5 linked regions of the Coturnix japonica genome follow. The protein of the gene in region 4 interacts with the protein of the main gene of each other region in a pairwise test. Links are inferred from orthologs where the notes say so. Each region holds a gene or a part of one and is shown on either strand. Other genes may lie near its edges.

Region 1 (2,527 bases), on a different chromosome or scaffold from region 4:
TAGTTACATGAGGAAACTCTGGGCCCTGCAAGGAATCCTGAGTACAGATACAACGCAGCAGCTGTATGGACTTCTTCTGTCTTGGACTTTTTTTTAATATAAATTTGGTGTAAACAATAGAATGATCACGAGGTACAGTGCTGTACAGTTACTGCATCCAGCCTTTTTCTCTCATGCAAACATCCAGTACCTCTGGGAATTTTAACCTAATGAAATATTATGTACACTTCCCAGTATTTCTGCTTAATTGATTTCTGGGTGTCTCCAAAACATGGCCCCGTATCAGTTGTAGTCCTGATAAAAGCAGGCTGGCACGTGGTGACACGTGGCTGCTGCACAGGTTCATGGTGACAGGTTATTAGTGAAGTGGGGCTGGTCTGGATGCACCGTGAGATGATGTGGTTATACATAAGCTAGAGTTAGAGAACTGCTCATCTGATGGCTGTGTGCTCACCTGTCTCTTAGAAGCTTGCAGATATGCTGTTGATTTAACAAGTAAAACAAAAACAACAACCAAATACCACATAATTTTTAATAATATATATGTATATTTTAACATATATTATGTATTTTACAATGCTTTTGCCAGTAATCAAAGTCAGGAGTCAACTTGGGGGATTCCATTTGTGTGAAGTCAAAGGAAAATATTAGAAAAATACATGTGGGCAGCTGAACAATGATGCACAGAACTGGTGATCTCTGCCAGTCAGTCCTGGCAACGTGTTACTGCAGTTATTTACAGCACAGAGTTCTACCCCTGAAATTAGAAGCAGGGGGAAGAGGGCGCGTTACTGAATGAACTGTGAGTTCTGAGCAACTATTTCTAGAATCTCTTACATTTGAAGTGAAAAAGCAGCAGATTTAGACCAAGTTAATATTCCGTTTATTTCCATCTGATTACACGAGATAAAACTTACAAAACAGCCTTCAATGCTTGGAGTTTTCACATCACGGGAAAGCAAGCGCTTTGGTCCTGTTAAACAAGTGACTTGGGAGGTTTGGACAAGCAGGGAGCAGCTGCTCACTGGAGTACATTGCTCAGTTAGAGACAAACCCAGAAGGTCTTCAAAACTTACATTTGTTAGGATTTAAGAGGAATTCATACCAAGCTTATTGTAATACAACTGCTGAGCAGTAAACATTGGCAAACTGCTTTTCAGGTTTGCAAATAGTGTCATTGTGTTAATGATCCCAGATGGTGCTTCAGTGTTCAGGCATTTCAAGCGAACACATGAAAAATGCAGATAAGGGAACTGCAGTAGGTAAGTGTGTAAATGGCTGAAGTACTGGAGCATCTCATGGGAGAGGATGAGAGAGATGAAGCTGTTCAGACTGGGAAAGGCTCAGGGAGATCTCAACAATGTATTTTAGTATGAATGAAGATGTAGCCTGGCTCTCCCCAGTGTTACATAGTAAAAAGAAAAGGGGCACAAACTGAACACAGGAAATTCTATCTGAACATATGGAAACAATTTTTTTTTATTGTGTGTGTGTTTGAATGCCGGGGTTGGGTTACCCAGAGAACTTGCAGATGCACAGAACCCAAGCGTGGTGCTCAGTGACCTGGTGCGGCTGACCCTGCTCAAACAGCGATGCCTTCCAATCGTAACTATCCTGTGATTCTATGAAGTGAAAATACAAATATACAAATGATAAAGTCTCAGTGTGAATATAAAATGTTTAGAAATTAAATACTGACTCAACTCAGTCACTTAAAGTGACAGTCTTTCACCAGGTCTGAAGAAAAGAACTTGACTAAATGGTGATATTATTTTTAAGGAAGGATTTATTCATTCTTCATGGCTTTCCTTCTTTCACAGCCACTGTGGAATCCTTTAGTGCCATCAGGACCTCTGGGCAGCCGCAGCACCCCTACGGGTAGACCATCTGCATTTTGTATTTTCCGAGCTAGCATGGGGCTACTGACCGGACTCTTCTCTTGTGTTGTAGTCTGAGCTTTTCTTCTCTGTACCCAAGGACTACCAGACGGTGTAATGCTGCTGTCTGAGGAATAATCTGTGCATTTTCTTGGAATTTCAGGACTAGTGCTCAGGTTGAGTTTGCTGTCTTCAGCCAGTGGAGACTTTTTGGTCACTTTCCTTAGAGAGGATGGACTGTTCCAAGGACTTGATCTGGGTGATACGTTAGGACTCAGATGGTTGTTTGGGTGCACGACGGGACTCAACTTGCTTGTAGTACTTGTCACAGTATTTCTGCGTCCTGAGAGTGGTGATGTAGGATTACTCTCTGGCTCAGAAGAGCTATTTGCTGATGATTCGTCACCAGTAAACTGAAGTTCCTCAACTCTCTTGTTAAGGGATCTAACTTTCTTCAGACTCTTGTTGTTATCTTCATCACGGTTCTTGTCTTTAGGGACTTTCTTCTTTGGAGGTTTCGTGCCGATGAGGACAACTTTCATGCCAGTCTCTTTCTTTTCAGCACACATGAATTCATGAGCCTGCACAGCAGCATCTACTTCTTCAAATTCTACAATTGCACATTCCTGTGTTCCCATTTGCGTATACCG
Region 2 (3,518 bases), about 48 Mb from region 4:
CATTCCACATTCTTACTGCCAATACCAATTAGTCCTGTTCCTCCAGTTTATTTAGGTGAAAGTCTGGCAGGAACAGCAAATAACAGGCTCTCATCAAATTTTAATATCATGGGAACAGCCATTTGCCAATACAGATAAACTGCTTCTGAACGAGACTGGACCAAGCACTCACCCAAGCTGTTCAGAATATTGTTGTCTGCACTGAACTGCAAATCCATACACTCAAGAGCTAAGAGTTCTGTCTCTGAAACCAGGACAAGTTCAAATAGGACAGCTTATGTAAGTAGCCAAGGATCTGAGGAATTAATTCCTGAGCTTGAAGGGCAGGAACATAAATATCTCTGCGATACCAGCAGAAGGTTAGATATTCCATTGTAACAACAAAAGCACAGATTTTGCCATATCTTTGCAAACACTCATTTTTCAAAAGACAGAACATTCACTTCTCATTTTTCTTAATAAAATCTGGAAATAAATTATAGTAACTGACTTTGTTCAATAGATATGGAATTCAGTGGCTAACTTAAGCAAGCCAGAAACACAGGAACTTTTTATACAGCTAAGGAAAGGCAAGATGAAGAACAAGGATACATTCCAGGAACACCTAAGCATGAAGTTTCTACCCAAAATGAAGAACCAAGAATGGAGAAACTGAGGAACAAAAGAAAACATGGCATGCAGAATAGACTGTAGAGGTCTAAAATGGGGCTGAGTACATCCTTTAGGTTTGGCAGAAAATGCCCTTCAGGATGATGCACTGACTCTGAAAGGAACAGCTAGTCAAACCCGGTGTTCTGACTTGCAGATCCTAGAAATGCAATACCTATTGCAATACCAAAATGCATTTTTTTTCTCTAAAGTCTTACCCTGAAATTCAGAAACTCCAGAGAGCTTTGGAGAATCCAGCAACCAGTCTGTCAGCTCACTGGTACCAAGGATGTTGCTTCGAAACTGCTTCCCTCCATTCACATTCCAGGTCCCCATGGCAACACGAACACGCTTGAAGCTTGTGAATTCAAACTGACGCTCTGACATGGCCTTCAGAATACTTGGAGTTACTGATGGAAGAGAAGAGAGGGAAAGAGCACGTAAAACAAAAATGTGCCATAAAAGCAGAGAAAAAATCCAGAGAGCAGTGACATGTAAGTCACCATGAAATAATGACAGCACCCTAGTAGCAAAAATACAAAAGATAAAGAATATCTCCAGTAGCAGTGGCAATAACTGTAAGGTTATTGAAGCTGATGCTATCAATTTCTCTTCCAGACTCCAAGCATCTTACAAAAGCAGCTGTACTTGTAAGAAGTCAGTCAATCACTTCCAGCATATGTTTTCTAGAACTTCAAGTAACACTGAATGAATTCTTTTCTCCTCCCTTTATCTTTTCAGTTTTGCTTGTACTGAGTATGCCACAAATCATGACTTAAATCCAAGCCCTAACAAATTTAGATGAGGGAAAGGTAGAAAATAGCACAGAGTCCCACATCGTGTCTTCAAAACTAGCACTGTCACAGCTCTCTAGCCTAGTCAGAAGTCCTTAGAGGAAACTGCTACTTTCATTATTTTTGATGAGTATAGACAATTAAGAGTGCATGTTTTTTCATGTGAGTAGCTGTAATAACCTTAATCTTCAGCTACTCAATAGCCAGTAGTCAGATGCAGAGAAGGTATCTACACTGTCCTTGTAGTCCATAAGGGGACACCCTCAGGACTGCAGCAGAGCTGAATGGCTCATATCTACCCTGTTAAAATCCAGTAAGTCTCTGGAGCAAACTGGCAATGTGACACTGCTTGTGGGAGCAGGTTATCCTGTATTCTGCACATGCGTTTTTTCTCAGAGAGAACTAGGTTGGTTGATTCTAGACGGGTGCAAACAGCTATGTATATGTTACGGACTATCAGAGTAAAGCAGAGAACAAATCAGCATAAATGTGCCTTTAAGACCCAAATGGCTAAGAGCACATACAGACTGCAGACTTAAAATAAGCAGATAAAAATGTTGAGCTCAAGAGACTTCCCCAGGACAAAGTGACCAAACCGGGAATACAGCCCTAAAAACCTTCCCTTTCAGTCGATCTCCTCTCAACTATCAAAGAATATCATCAAACAGCAGATAAACACACTGGAAGTCCAAAACAAAATATGAGAAATAAGCACAATGAAATTAAAACAGACAGGATTCTGCTACAGTAGCTTGAAAAAAAAGTGTTTTAAACAACACATGTGCAAGAGTAGTTTTTCTATAAAATGATGCAATTGCTTATAAATGACAGTCAAAACCAGGCAGAAAAAGAAACAGGAAGGGTTTATGCTGGCCTTACCCAGCAGAGCAGTGTTATCCATGAGCATCTTTCCCTTGTCTGCATATTCCTCACTGAAGAAGTCACCCATGAGAAGCAGCTTGATGGCTTCCTGCTTTACTGAATCAAAAAAATTTGACTGAATGGTACGAGAGACAGAGCGGGCTCCATCCTTGAGCTTCCCAACCTACATCAGACCAAGATCATCAGCACAAGAGGCAACGAGGTGTAAATCAGATACCTTTCTTTACAGTCACTTCTGAGTAAACAGCTTTGCTGCTTTTCTTTACCTTGTGCTTTCCTTCAAGGGCACGGCTGCCAGTGAACACTTTGCTCAGATTGTGACCATTGAGAGTCCACATTGCTTTGTACGATTCCACAAAGCGCTCAACTATAGATCTAGAGTTCAACCCAAGGATCTCCAGTTGTGTAAGCAGGATCTGGGTATGGAGGAGGAAGGGAAAAATAAAATAAAATAAAATCACTCTTCTTGAATGTATTTTGCCTTTTCTTCCCAATTTAGTTATTACAGCTAGCACCATTCTATAACACAGAGCTAGCAAGAAAGACTTGTATCAGTGAGGCTTATGTCCCCTTTCTCTTCTTTCCTGTGCAACAGACAACGTATGCAGCATGGGCATCTGTGAAAGGTCCTTTGATAAACTTACCTCCAGTGCAATGAAGGACTGTACGCTGTTAGTACGATCCAGGCAGTCCAAACAATTCATTCGAAAAGTACCTGTCTGCAGGCTTTAGTAATTAAACACAAGAGGAGGGAGGAAGAAAGGTATATTTTAAAAATAACATCTAATCACGGGTTGATTGAACAAGATTGTCAAATATTCAGCTTGAATATACCCGCCCACATTTTGACAGTGCAAGCACACTGTGCACAGTGTATTCCATTACGTATCTAATTACCTGACTATGTCTCCAACACAGTGCTTGCAAATCCATGTGTTGGTAATTTTCCAAATTCTAAACCAAGGAGAGGTATTTAACCCAAATGATCTTGTAGTACCAAGACTACACTTTGTTTCAAATCTGTATTTCGAGATGGTCACACATGCCCATGGTCCAAACACAGCGATGAACTTGGGAAGGTTAGGAGGGTTGGTGCCTGGCTATGCTGGGACATGGGGGCAGGGACACTCACCGTGGACTTACATTGTTGCCCTTTGCAAAGACGCCAAAGTCCTCCCAGTGCAATTTCAGTTG
Region 3 (4,244 bases), on a different chromosome or scaffold from region 4:
AAAGGCCGTGTCAGAGGTGCAGCAGAAGGTTACCTTCTTGCCACGGGGAATGGCAGCAGGCTGGCAGCATGCGTGGCAGTGGCTTCCCGGACTTCATGGGGGCAGTGATTGCTTTGTCTCAGAAGAAATCCTATGGGGCAGGTAAAGGGGGGTTGGTAACGCGGCTGCATTGCAGGAAGGAGGCTCAGCAGCCACAGTGCCACTCCTGATCTCAGCCCGAGCTCTTCCCTAGCAAAACCACCAAACGTGGACCTGCAGCACCCTGTGCTCTGCCCTCCTCACCATCCCGCCTGCCTGGGAACATGAAGGACCTCCAAGATGCTCCAGGTAAAGGTGTGAGCGGAGCAGAGGCAGCTCACTCACAAAGCACAGGAAGCTCAGAGATGAAATGCCAGCTCTGTCCAAGGAGAGGATCTCCATGAAATGGAAATAGCTCAGATTAATGCAAGAACCTGGAAAACACCTCCAGCCGACAGACACGGCACCGGATGCCTCCTGACTATCCCCAGTGCCTGGAAGCACTGTGCCTATGGGATGTCAGCACCTCCAGCCCTGCAGCCACAGCAGCCAGAGCATGAATGAAAGCAAGGAAAAGGAAGCTGGTGTAGATCCTGAATCACGGCAGTGAGGAACCTCATATTCCAAGGTGCAAAAATCCCCGTTTGCAACGTCTGTTCAGGGTGCTGTGTAACACAATCCCACCATCTACCCCCTTCACTGCTTCATATCACACAGTACATTGTCTGAGGATCAGCGTTACATCACTGTGTGGCCTTTCATCCCAATCCCAAACAATGCTGATTTTTCTTTAGAAACACTGAACAGCTCCAGAATTACAAAGGTACTTTCAGGCTACTTTAAGGCTACTTTTAGACACCATTTTACACTCCCCAAACCCCCAGTTCTCAATATACCTGAAGCAAGCAAAAAGCACCCAGCCTTCTTCCAATGTGACACCTCACAGAGCTGCAGCTCACTATGAGCAAACTCCAAGTTAATGGAGAAGCTCATAAATCCTTGTTAGACCGCTCTGCAAACAAAGCTGGGCAAAGGGGGCTGAGAACGCTGCTCCTTCTTTGGGAATGAACACACTCCTCAGGTCTCATGTCACTGAAGGCATTAGCACAGAGCTGTGAGCATCAGCTGGCTAAACGCTTTTATTAATGAAAAACATTAAACTGATGGCAAATCGGATTATAAAACTGATTTATTTAGATCGAGGTGCCCACAAATGATGCCAAGTTACCCGTGACGACGTACCTCAGCTATCTGCAGAACAGGAGACAGCAATTCTTAAGAATTATTTCCCACATTAAAGGAGGAACTAAAAAAGCCTCGAGCGCTGCGACAATTATGGCAATATTCAGCAGTATAAAGACCTGAGGAATCATTTGGAAGCAGGATGACAAACGGCAGCGCACGGAGCTGGTTCAATGTGCTGCTATCCCTGTGCTGGCACCACCTGCTCAGCACCGCACGCATATTAAGCTCCAAGCGGCAGCCAAGATTTGAAGCTGTTCCTGTTTGAAGCCGGCTGTGGGCTCTGCAGGTGGCACTGAAATACAGGAACAAAACTCACCAACCCCTATGAGAGGTCAGAAAGCTGACATGGCTCTATTGCAGCGCTGGGTGCGAGGATGGCACCTCCAAGCTGCACATCCAGGGGTTAAAGCTCACTGATTTCACATGTTTTAGATATGGAAATGTCGATGCATAACCACAACACGACGGCCTCTTCCTAAAATTGCTGTACTTATTAAAAACAGCTGTTGACTACATTCCTAATTAGTACTTCAACCTTGTTATGGTGCCTATACTCAGCCCCAGCAGGGTACAGTGCACATCCCCACAGCCCGTGGAATGCTCAGGCTCTGCTTTTAGGCTCCAGCTGTCCCGCTTATCTGGGAAAAACAACCCTCCCGAGCCACAAGGTCAGTCTGCAGAATAGTCTGTATGAAATGCTGAAGGCTCCGATTTTATTGCCAGGTATCAGAGGCAGCTGAGCCCACCCCGGCAGCTGCACGGGGAGGGAGATGGGGAGGAATGAGAGCGGGCAGGCGATTGGACAGCGGCGATGGGGAAGGAGAAGGCAGCTCCGGGCACAGAACAAAGGCTGCCATTCCCATTCACTACTGAGGATCAGCAGCACCACGGAACGAGCTCTGGACGTGTTACCGAGTGGAAAAGCACAGATCGCAGCCCACGATCTGGCCGCTCAGCTCGGACCCCTCCCCCAAGGGATGACAGCAGCCAACCTCCCTGTACAACGAACCTTCGGCTCCCGGTGCCCTATAGCTCATATCACACACAGCCCAGCGCTTCATACAGAGCCGTTCCCAGCACTCGGTACCGCGCTGCCGCCACATTCCATCCCCACCCCCCGCTCCGCTCGGTACCTGCGCTGAGGAGCTGCATGGCGTGAGTGAAGGACGGGTCCAGGCTGTCCTTCTCGGCCATCAGCTCGGGCAGGTATTTGTTCTCGGGCTCCATCTTGTTGTTTCCCCCTGTCAGCAGCGGGGCGGGGGAGGCGGCGGCGGGGCCTTGCGAGCCAGAGGAGCCTGCCGCCCCTCCGCCGGTCAGCAGCGGCTGCGGCTGCTGGGCCCCACGGCCCCCCCCGCCCCGGGGAGACCGCCGCGGGTTGGGCCCCCCTTGGCGGGATCCCCCGGGTCCCCCCGGCCCGCGGCCCATGCGGGCGTTGGACTCATCGCGGCGCTGCATGCGGGCACGGAGCGGGACGGGCCCGAACGGCGCTGCCACCCCGAGCAGCCGCAGCGACGGGACCGGAAGTGGGAGACCGGAAGTACCGCCCCATCCCTCACAGCGCCCCCACACAGCGCTTCCCGCGCGACCACCCCACGCGCTTCTGCGCATGCGCTGTCGCGCAGCCCCTCGGCTTCACAGGGCGCATGCGCGGCGTGAGAAGGAAGCATTCTCCTTGTGCGCATGCGCAGTGCCGGGCGCGCGATTGGGAGAGCAGCACGTGCGCGGCGCTGTGGCGCCAGGCTCAAGGAGCTTTACGCATGCGCACTGCGGGTCCGACATGGCGGTGCGGGGAGGTGCGATGCGGGACCGGGACCTGGGATATGGGCCTCATGTCTTAGTGCTGCTCTGCCCGGAGCACTGTGTGCTGTGGGCTGGCTGCAGCAATAGGCTTTTATAGGCTGAATATAGGAGCTGCTCTGCTTTAGGGCCATCCCTGCTCCCAGCATTAACAGGAGCACCGGATGTGGATGCGATCACATCCCCATTGCTCCCTGCTGACACAACGTGTTGTTAATCACTGAGCTCTGACACACAGCGTTCGTTCAGCTACAGAACGGACCTGCTGGGCTGCACAGCTCCGTGCTGCGCTGTGCACACGGACGGGAGGGGCCCCGCTGCTGCTTCCTGCGGGCAGAGCACACAGCAGCTCTTGTTCCAGCTGCAGGGCGGGCGCTCCGGGCCCGAACTAACGGGGCACGTGGTTGAGACCGCATCCCTGCCCGGGGCTGTGGCCGGGGCTCGCTGTCTGTCCGTGCTGTCTAACCGGAGCTGCCGTATCAGGACAGGAGGGGATGGGGGGGTTACAGGAGGGCTGTTCCATCGCCCCTCTGCGGGGGGGTGCGCACGTGGTGCGGGCGGACCGGTCCAAGTGCGGCGGGGGGAGGCGGCGGTTAGGGGGAGAGTCGGGCCGTACCAATGCCGGCTGCGTGGGGAGGGTGCGGGGAGCTCCGGCTGCGCAGGGATGAGAGCGGCGGCTCCTCGCGGCTCGGGGACGGGGCTCAACCCGCATCTCGTGTGGCGGAAAACGGCTGCGAGGCTGCGCCGCTCGCACGGCACAGACAGACACGGGATCCCCCCGCGAGGGCACCGAGTGGGCGCTTCCACGCGGGGGGATTGAGGCGGAGCGGGCCGTACCACTGCCGGTTGCGGGGGTGCGTCGCGCCGTGCCAATCAGCGCCGTGCGGGCCGTACCACGGGGCAGGGCGGGGGGGGAGCGGCCTGTGCAGTGTGAGCCGTGTGGCGGCGGGGCTGTGCGCTGTGTCCGCCGCTCGGGCCGCACCGGGGGTCGTTCAGCCTCAGCCCCGTCACGGGCCCCGCCGCTCCCCAACGCCGCCGCCGCCCCTTCCTGCCCCCATCGCGCCCCCCGGCCCGCGGTGTGGGAGGCGCCGGGTCCGCTCGGAAGAACGGCGCCGCGCTCAATGCCCGGGGTGAGGAACCGGGGGGGGCCGGGGTGAGGAGGAGGCCGGGGGAGAACCGAGAGC
Region 4 (3,518 bases):
CTGCTGGTTTTATTAAACATGCAAAGAATATTGTTGTGTCTTTGTTACAGGGTTCTAGTAATGCTGGCAAAGCTGGAACAATAAATAAGAAACCTGGTGAGTACATTATAACTTCTCAACGTTTTGGACTGTGTTTGAAGTGATTAATAAAGCACGTGTGTTCATGGAAGTGTTTTAAGGTCTGCCAGTGTGCTTACCTGCAAGATAAATACCAACTTTCTTCTTTAGAAATAGCTCTTATTGTAGTGAAAATATACCAAAGACAATTAATATCCCTTCTTTTCAGAAATTGCTCAGGTAACTACTGCTTATGCTGCATCAGGAAGTGAACAACTTAGTCTTGCTCCCGGGCAGCTCATTCTTATCCTGAAGAAAAATGCTAGTGGATGGTGGCAAGGAGAGCTGCAGGTGAGTGGTTGGAGGAACAGGAATCCTGACTTGACAAGCAGCATTGAGGGGTTCTTTGGTTTAACTTGAAATGAACAAGTGAGTAGAGCACACTGAAAGCTGCTTGGAAAGCTGCAGTTCCTCGTTAGAGACTCTTAAATTGATGTGCAAGTGGAATTTTCTTAGAGCAGATGTGCAGCCCTACTGTGAAATGATTAGCTGCTCTTAAAACCTTTGAATGTACGTATTTGTCAGAGCAAGTCGAGACGCAGCTTTATTTGAGTTTGGTTGTTTCATCCTTCAGTCAGATCTTACCTTCTGAGATACTTAGTGCTTAATTGCTGTTGGAAGACCAGCTTTGTTTTCCTTAGGCAGAACTGTGTGATACATCTGTTGTGCTTTTCCAGTCCTTATGCTGTTTTGTTTCTTGACTGTATTATACCCATTTCAACAGGCAAGAGGGAAAAAGAGACAGAAAGGATGGTTCCCTGCCAGCCATGTGAAGTTACTGGGTCCGAGCAGCGAGCGAACCACATCTGCTGCCCACTCAGGTGAAAAAAAAATGGTCTTATTTGTATTTCGTTTAGAGTATATTATTGAACTACTTTGTTCACATACTAATTTGAATTAACACTGTGTTTCATAGCCTTATCTGACTGTGCTTTGCTGTACAAGGTGAAGTCCTAGTCCAAATCCGAGTCTTTTGGCATATGTGTCCATTCAGATATTATTTCTGTCCACAAAAGGGAGAATCTCCCATTTGCTTTCAGCAGTCCTTCATGGGCTCCCTGCCCCACCTTATACTACTTTATAAAGCTTTTAAACTTTTCTGCCTGCGTTGCAGAGCCACACTCACCTCGCTTGGAAGCCCCTTCTTGCCATTTGATTCCATAGCAAGCTGTGATCATGTCTGGTGTTTTTCTGTAGCACTTGATGTGAAGTTGTTGTTTCTTTGCCATATCTACACAAAATACTGAAAAACTGCCTTAATGCTTCATGTCACAGCATTCTGCTAACTCTGCTTTTTCTTCGTAGTGTGCCAAGTAATAGCAATGTATGATTACATGGCAAACAATGAAGACGAGCTCAGCTTCTCCAAAGGGCAGCTCATCAACGTGCTGAGCAAAGATGATGCTGACTGGTGGCAAGGAGAAATCAATGGTGTGACAGGTCTCTTCCCTTCCAACTACGTGAAGATGACCACAGATTCTGATCCGAGTCAGCAGTGTAAGCAACTATTTTATTAAAAACCATTTTGCTTCTTTCTTTCCAAAGTGCATTACTGTTTTTTTTGCTTTCAGCTTGGAGCACCAACCAAAGTTATTGGGATTTTAAATGCTCTTTTAAATACTTTATTACTCTATTTAACCTACAAATAACCATCAGATTACCAACCAGCCAGACTGCAGTAGTGAGAGTGTGAGGGTGAGCTGGAGCAAAACATCCAGTAGGTGTCCACCTAAAGAGCAGCTGGTGTACAGCTATCTCGTGTTTGATAGCTTGTACTGACCAGAAGCCAGTGCAGGTGTATTATGCTTCATTGTAGGAATATTCTGTAATTCCAGAACATTTGCCTGTCTGAAGGTCAGATCTTTTTTTGCATGTAAATATAGGAAATGTTTCTGGTTCCTCACCCACCCGTTTGGGTGTTTTTAGTTGCCGTTTCTTTTGTCAGCTTTCCTCAGAGAAAATGAGCTCTGCTCTTACTCCTCCTTCAGCTTTCCATCCTTGGGCACTTGAATTAAATCAGCGTTCCATCAGCCCGCGACATTCGTGGCTTTCGGAGCCCCATTTAGGGTTTGGGTAGGTGATGTGAAAGTTGTCCCTTTCACTTAGCAAGCCACATCCTTTCCCTTGCTGTTTTTTCCACTAGGCATCATGCGCATTTTTTGCAGTATAAAAGCATACATCTGGAATTCTGGTTGAGGTATACCCTTAAAAACCTGCAGCTGGTCTGTGGGAGCAGCTTGCGCTTGAGATTAGATGAACTTAGTGTGGTTGTTAGAGAAGAATTCCCAGGTGTGATGATGTAGGTCCAGCTTGGGTTGTCCCCCCAGTAGCTGTCGTACCTGGCTAGAATGCCCTATTCAGGTTTTATTTGTAGTTAAATTACATCTGTGCTAATGTTCCAGGTAACGCATTCTTATTTCATGTATTCTAAATGTTTTTGATGATGTCAAAAAATGCTGCATTTAGACTGAACCTAAACAACTTTTGATTGGGCTCATCTAAAGATTGATCTATTTCTTTAGAAATCTTTTGTTTGCTTACAATTTGGATAAAATAGCACGGACTGCATCCAGCCAGGCCATGAAATTAAGGTTCTGGCTGAGTTTTTCACCCAGAGGGTGGTGACACACTGAACAGGTTGCCCAAGGAGGCTGTGGATGCCCCATCCCTGCAGGCATTCAAGGCCAGGCTGGATGTGGCTCTGGGCAGCCTGGTCTGCAGGTTGGCGACCCTGCACACAGCAGGGGGTTGAAACTGGATGATCATTGTGGTCCTTTTCAACCCAGGCCATTCTGTGATTAAACACTCCAGAATTTTTCAAAAATGAGGAGGATCTTTGCTTATCACATCAGTGACTTGAGTAGCTGGATGTGATGAGTGCAGGATGGTTGCACATCAGTTTTCAACAGAAGCAGTCCTGAGATCAAACTGCAATTGGAAACATTTGACGTGATAGTCTTTCTCTTTGTTTGCTGATAGATCATTAGGTTGTCTTGTTCTCAGCCTTCGGATTGTGGCTGTGTGACGAGAGTTGTCCTTTGAGATTGCATTGACAGGGCCAGCCAGCAGCAGTCACTGAAGAGCAGGTGTCACCCCTACTTGGTTGGCGTGAATATTGCAGTGCTTCTGTTGACAAACACATCTCCCACTGTCTCTCCTGGCCAGTTGAATGTAAGGGTATTTGAATGGGAACAAATTGGGTTTACTCACAGAGGTTTGAGGCTTGTGACAATTCTGCTTTCCCCTCAAATGTAAACTCTGTTATATGGACCACCTTTTGTACTCCTGGGGCTCACTGGTCATCCCCATGAGGCAGACCTCCCTAACAAGGTTCTCCTTAGGTAGTTCTTCTCTCAAGCTGTGTCAGTAGCTCTCTGGGCAGAAGAAATGATGCTGACAAG
Region 5 (3,518 bases), about 81 Mb from region 4:
CTCTCCTCCCTCTTCTTGAAACTGCACTTTTCAAAGGCCAAACTTCAAATCCCTTTGCATAAAGAACGTCCTCCCTGTCTCCATCCTCACTACAAAACCACATGATTTTTCATGTCCTAAAACCGAAGTACATAACTAAACTCAGTCACCCACATTTTCACAGCTTGCATTCTGTAGACTTCATCCACCTTAAACAGTATTTGTCTGTGTGAAAGAGAAGCAAGCTCTGAGTCCTGCCTATTGTTATTTGCAGGTAGACTCAGCGTCTAAATCCACAGTACATACTGAATTTCAAATCAAGTATATCAGAAAATCAAATCTAGCTTTGTTATCTCACTAGCAAAATCCGCAACTCAAAACAGCACACAATATAGGAGCAAGTGTTAAAAAAAACACAGACAACACCAGTTAGTCAGGATGTCTGCTCATGTGATAATTCTCTCTTCAATACAGCCCATTTTACAGCTAAAAAAGAACAATAACTTGTTCTACAAGGATTTATAAATAATCACCCTTGAATTCCTTAAGAAAGGAAACGGACACTATGATGACGCACACGCACTCTTAACATATCAAAGCTTTAAAAATAGAAGAGCACTGCTCTATAGATAAATAAAATGCCCGGAGTTTCCAATCTTGGTACCACCTAGCCTAGCCACTATTAAGTGAGTATCAGGAAAAGGAGGAGATAATCAACGCAGAACACATTAAAACTAGTAAAATCCGCCACAATATGCAAATAGGACAAGAATCTGAATTTCCAATGGAAGGGCAGCTTCCCTCAGGTTGAAATACAAGGAAAGCTATTGTGCTGAGGAGCCTCCTTCCCAGCTTGGCTGCTCCAGCCCAGGACTATGTGGGCTGCCTGCCTTCCCTTCTCGGGCCTGGATCCCAGCAGAGTGGCTGTGTTACAGCTCAGCTGCCAGGAAGCCTCTATTCTACAATAAAACAGAACAGTCTGCTGAAAAGCTGTTTTGTGTCTTATCTTGAAGGTGAAGATGGAAAAGCAAAAGGTCATACACACCTATCTACTGCCTCCCATGGATCTTTACATATGACAGAAAAGCATAGACATGAACTGAGTGCCCACTGACTTCAATAACCAACTACCTCAACTTCAGCTACTTCCAACAAATTGGCACAACCTCTGCAATTCCATCTGTATTGACTCTTTATAGGATGTGAGCCACAAGAAGAACATCTTAGAAAAGGTTCACAGCTACTCCAAAAAAAAAAAACAAAAACAAAACAGTCTTTGGATAGATCCAGGACTAGCATAACCAAACTGCATCTGAGATCAGACACCAGAGAAGTCACAGCCTGCCATTCCAGCCTAAGTCAGTGCTGTTCTTTAAAGACTCCAATCACACATGCACAGCCCTATTGTGGGCCAAAAAAAGAACCAACAACAATCTGCAGCTATGTGGCTACGTACCACAGGGATAGCCATCTTCCTACATTTCAGAGCAGAAGAGCAGCTCTGCACTCAGTCGCGCGCAAACAGAAGAAAAGGGTTACTATGGAAAGTGGCTGACCTCCTCACTGCATCTCACAAAATGCAACAAAACACTGAATGATTTATGTAGGAAATGGACCTCATTTCCTGTACAAAAGCCTTTTTTTGCTGAGTCACTAAATCTCTATTCTTTTGTTTCCCTGGAAAAGACAGCAAAGAGCAGCTAAAACGACTACATTTCACCCCCATAGAAAGCCAGCTCTAAAAAAGAAGGCATACAATGCAAGATAAGGATTTGGAGAAATGACGTACAGCTTAGCAATTCAGCATCAGATCCACGTATGTCATTCTCACATCTCTAAGGTTACAAAGATTAACTGAATTCATCACAGGACAACCTGTTTGAATGCGGTTAACCCATGTGTCAAATGCAAAAAGCAACACAAGAGATGTATTTCAACAAGCCATATGTTCTTCAAAAACAGGCGGCCCTGCTGTGTTAAGGAACTGCAGAAGACAGCTCACAGCTCACTGTACAGACAACGCATAGAGAATGCTACTGGTGACCAGGCCAGGGGTACAGCAAGAATCCTCTGCACACAGAAAGGGCAATCTTCAATGGGATGCAAGCTGCCCAAAGTACAGTGAATGCATACAAGGGCACTAAAAGGAATACGCCTCCTGCTAGCTCTCTGCCAATTACAATTTCAGCTTTTTAAATAATCCTCTTCCTTTCTCCAGAGTGGAATTGTTCTACTTTAACTTCCAAAAAGACTAAATTATGCCATAGATCATGCCAATGGCTTGAAGTTGATAAAAGAAAATGAAGTCAGATACAAAACTGCTCTGGTAAAAACTGCCAGCAAGATATTGCATTTGTGTTTCTAATAAGTGATAGGAAAGCTAAGCTGAAGGAAGTGCAGAGAGGGGCAATAAAAGCAGCAGAGTGAACAGATTTCCAATCACTTAAAGAATAAAACAAAGAAGTACTACAAAACACTAATCATATTCTGCTTATTCCAAGCCTCTTCTAAACAAACATTCCGGTTCCATACTGGACTCTGAGACTGAGCTGCAGAACTACTTATCAGAGTAAGGATAGACAGACAGAAAAAAAACTACAGCTGAATAAGAGAAGTACTTACATCAAGATGAATACAGGTTCAGAATAACAGCCCATAGTGGAAAAGTAGTGGAAAAATCAAAGATGAAAAAGACTGGGGGGGGAGGGGTGGGAAAAGCCCATGTTCTTCAGCACTGCTTAGAAAAATCCTGGAAAACTATGCAGAAACGCTACACACACATGCTGAGGTTGGACTGGATGAGCCATTCGCTTTCACATAAATGCCATTCATCACACAAATGTATCTTCAACACAAGTAGAAACCTTTACGTAAATGTCATAATTCAAATCCTTAAATTTGGACAAGGTAAAAACTACTCAAGCCACTGCTTTAAGGAAGCTGGTATTTGCTCTATGCGTTACATGTCAACACAGACATAGGTAGTAGTTTACAAAGTACAACCCTTAACTGAAGAAACCAAGCACACAGTTCTCATCTGCAGAGCTAGCGCTGTGTGTGCCACCTCGTCTCACAAATCTCAAGGGAAGGCAATTCTTGCAGCCTACAGGAAAAAGTGCTGTCTGGAGCTCAGTTCCTGCTGGATCCTGCCCCCCACCATCCCATGCAGGAGAGTAACCAGACACATGTGCAGATCTCACTACGGTCAGTCAAACTGGATTCATTTCCAGCTGCTGCAGCCACAGAGGTGCAAATTTAGAATTCCAAACCTTAACTCAAAAAGCATTTCAGAATATGTACCACTGAGCATGTTTGTTTTCCACACATAGTCTGCATTTTGCTGTACTTAATAAGGAAAACAAGAAGCATAAACTAATCATCACCTGTTCTGGTTATGAAGTGCCTCACCTGCATACATGTGGTAAGTCAGCCTCTCAATAAGTTTGACAACAGTTCCTGCCTTGATGATGGGGATTCCGGATTTGGGCTGCATGTTTTCTTCAAACACAATATTCTCTTCTGAGTCAGGTTCTGCAAAT

Evidence for each region.
Region 1: the proteins of ITSN2 (region 4) and LARP6 interact in a two-hybrid assay, tested with the Homo sapiens proteins (2 studies listed by BioGRID, with this or other methods). The link is inferred for Coturnix japonica from reciprocal best matches to the Homo sapiens genes ITSN2 and LARP6.
Region 2: the proteins of ITSN2 (region 4) and SYNJ2 interact in a two-hybrid assay, tested with the Homo sapiens proteins (2 studies listed by BioGRID and IntAct). The link is inferred for Coturnix japonica from reciprocal best matches to the Homo sapiens genes ITSN2 and SYNJ2.
Region 3: the proteins of ITSN2 (region 4) and KHDRBS1 interact in a two-hybrid assay, tested with the Homo sapiens proteins (2 studies listed by BioGRID and IntAct, with this or other methods). The link is inferred for Coturnix japonica from reciprocal best matches to the Homo sapiens genes ITSN2 and KHDRBS1.
Region 5: the proteins of ITSN2 (region 4) and SOS1 interact in a two-hybrid assay, tested with the Homo sapiens proteins (2 studies listed by BioGRID and IntAct). The link is inferred for Coturnix japonica from reciprocal best matches to the Homo sapiens genes ITSN2 and SOS1.

What each region holds. Positions count from the first base shown.
Region 1 is NC_029525.1:5,279,603-5,282,129, forward strand, and holds the end of LARP6 (la-related protein 6), read right to left. Parts: coding exon 1,787-2,527; 3' UTR 519-1,786; downstream 1-518. UniProt on the Homo sapiens protein: Regulates the coordinated translation of type I collagen alpha-1 and alpha-2 mRNAs, CO1A1 and CO1A2. Stabilizes mRNAs through high-affinity binding of a stem-loop structure in their 5' UTR.
Region 2 is NC_029518.1:46,858,844-46,862,361, reverse strand, and holds part of SYNJ2 (synaptojanin-2), read right to left. Parts: coding exon 3,457-3,518; intron 3,051-3,456; coding exon 2,969-3,050; intron 2,741-2,968; coding exon 2,591-2,740; intron 2,488-2,590; coding exon 2,322-2,487; intron 1,059-2,321; coding exon 867-1,058; intron 1-866. UniProt on the Homo sapiens protein: Inositol 5-phosphatase which may be involved in distinct membrane trafficking and signal transduction pathways. May mediate the inhibitory effect of Rac1 on endocytosis.
Region 3 is NC_029538.1:4,465,997-4,470,240, reverse strand, and holds the start of KHDRBS1 (KH domain-containing, RNA-binding, signal transduction-associated protein 1), read right to left. Parts: upstream 2,808-4,244; 5' UTR 2,719-2,807; coding exon 2,397-2,718; intron 131-2,396; exon of another isoform or gene 98-130; coding exon of another isoform or gene 34-97; intron 1-33. Other genes in the region: PTP4A2 (protein tyrosine phosphatase type IVA 2), read left to right, coding at 3,679-4,190. UniProt on the Homo sapiens protein: Recruited and tyrosine phosphorylated by several receptor systems, for example the T-cell, leptin and insulin receptors. Once phosphorylated, functions as an adapter protein in signal transduction cascades by binding to SH2 and SH3 domain-containing proteins.
Region 4 is NC_029518.1:95,161,019-95,164,536, reverse strand, and holds part of ITSN2 (intersectin-2), read left to right. Parts: intron 1-50; coding exon 51-96; intron 97-286; coding exon 287-408; intron 409-841; coding exon 842-938; intron 939-1,422; coding exon 1,423-1,614; intron 1,615-3,518.
Region 5 is NC_029518.1:14,475,681-14,479,198, forward strand, and holds part of SOS1 (son of sevenless homolog 1), read right to left. Parts: coding exon 3,388-3,518; intron 1-3,387.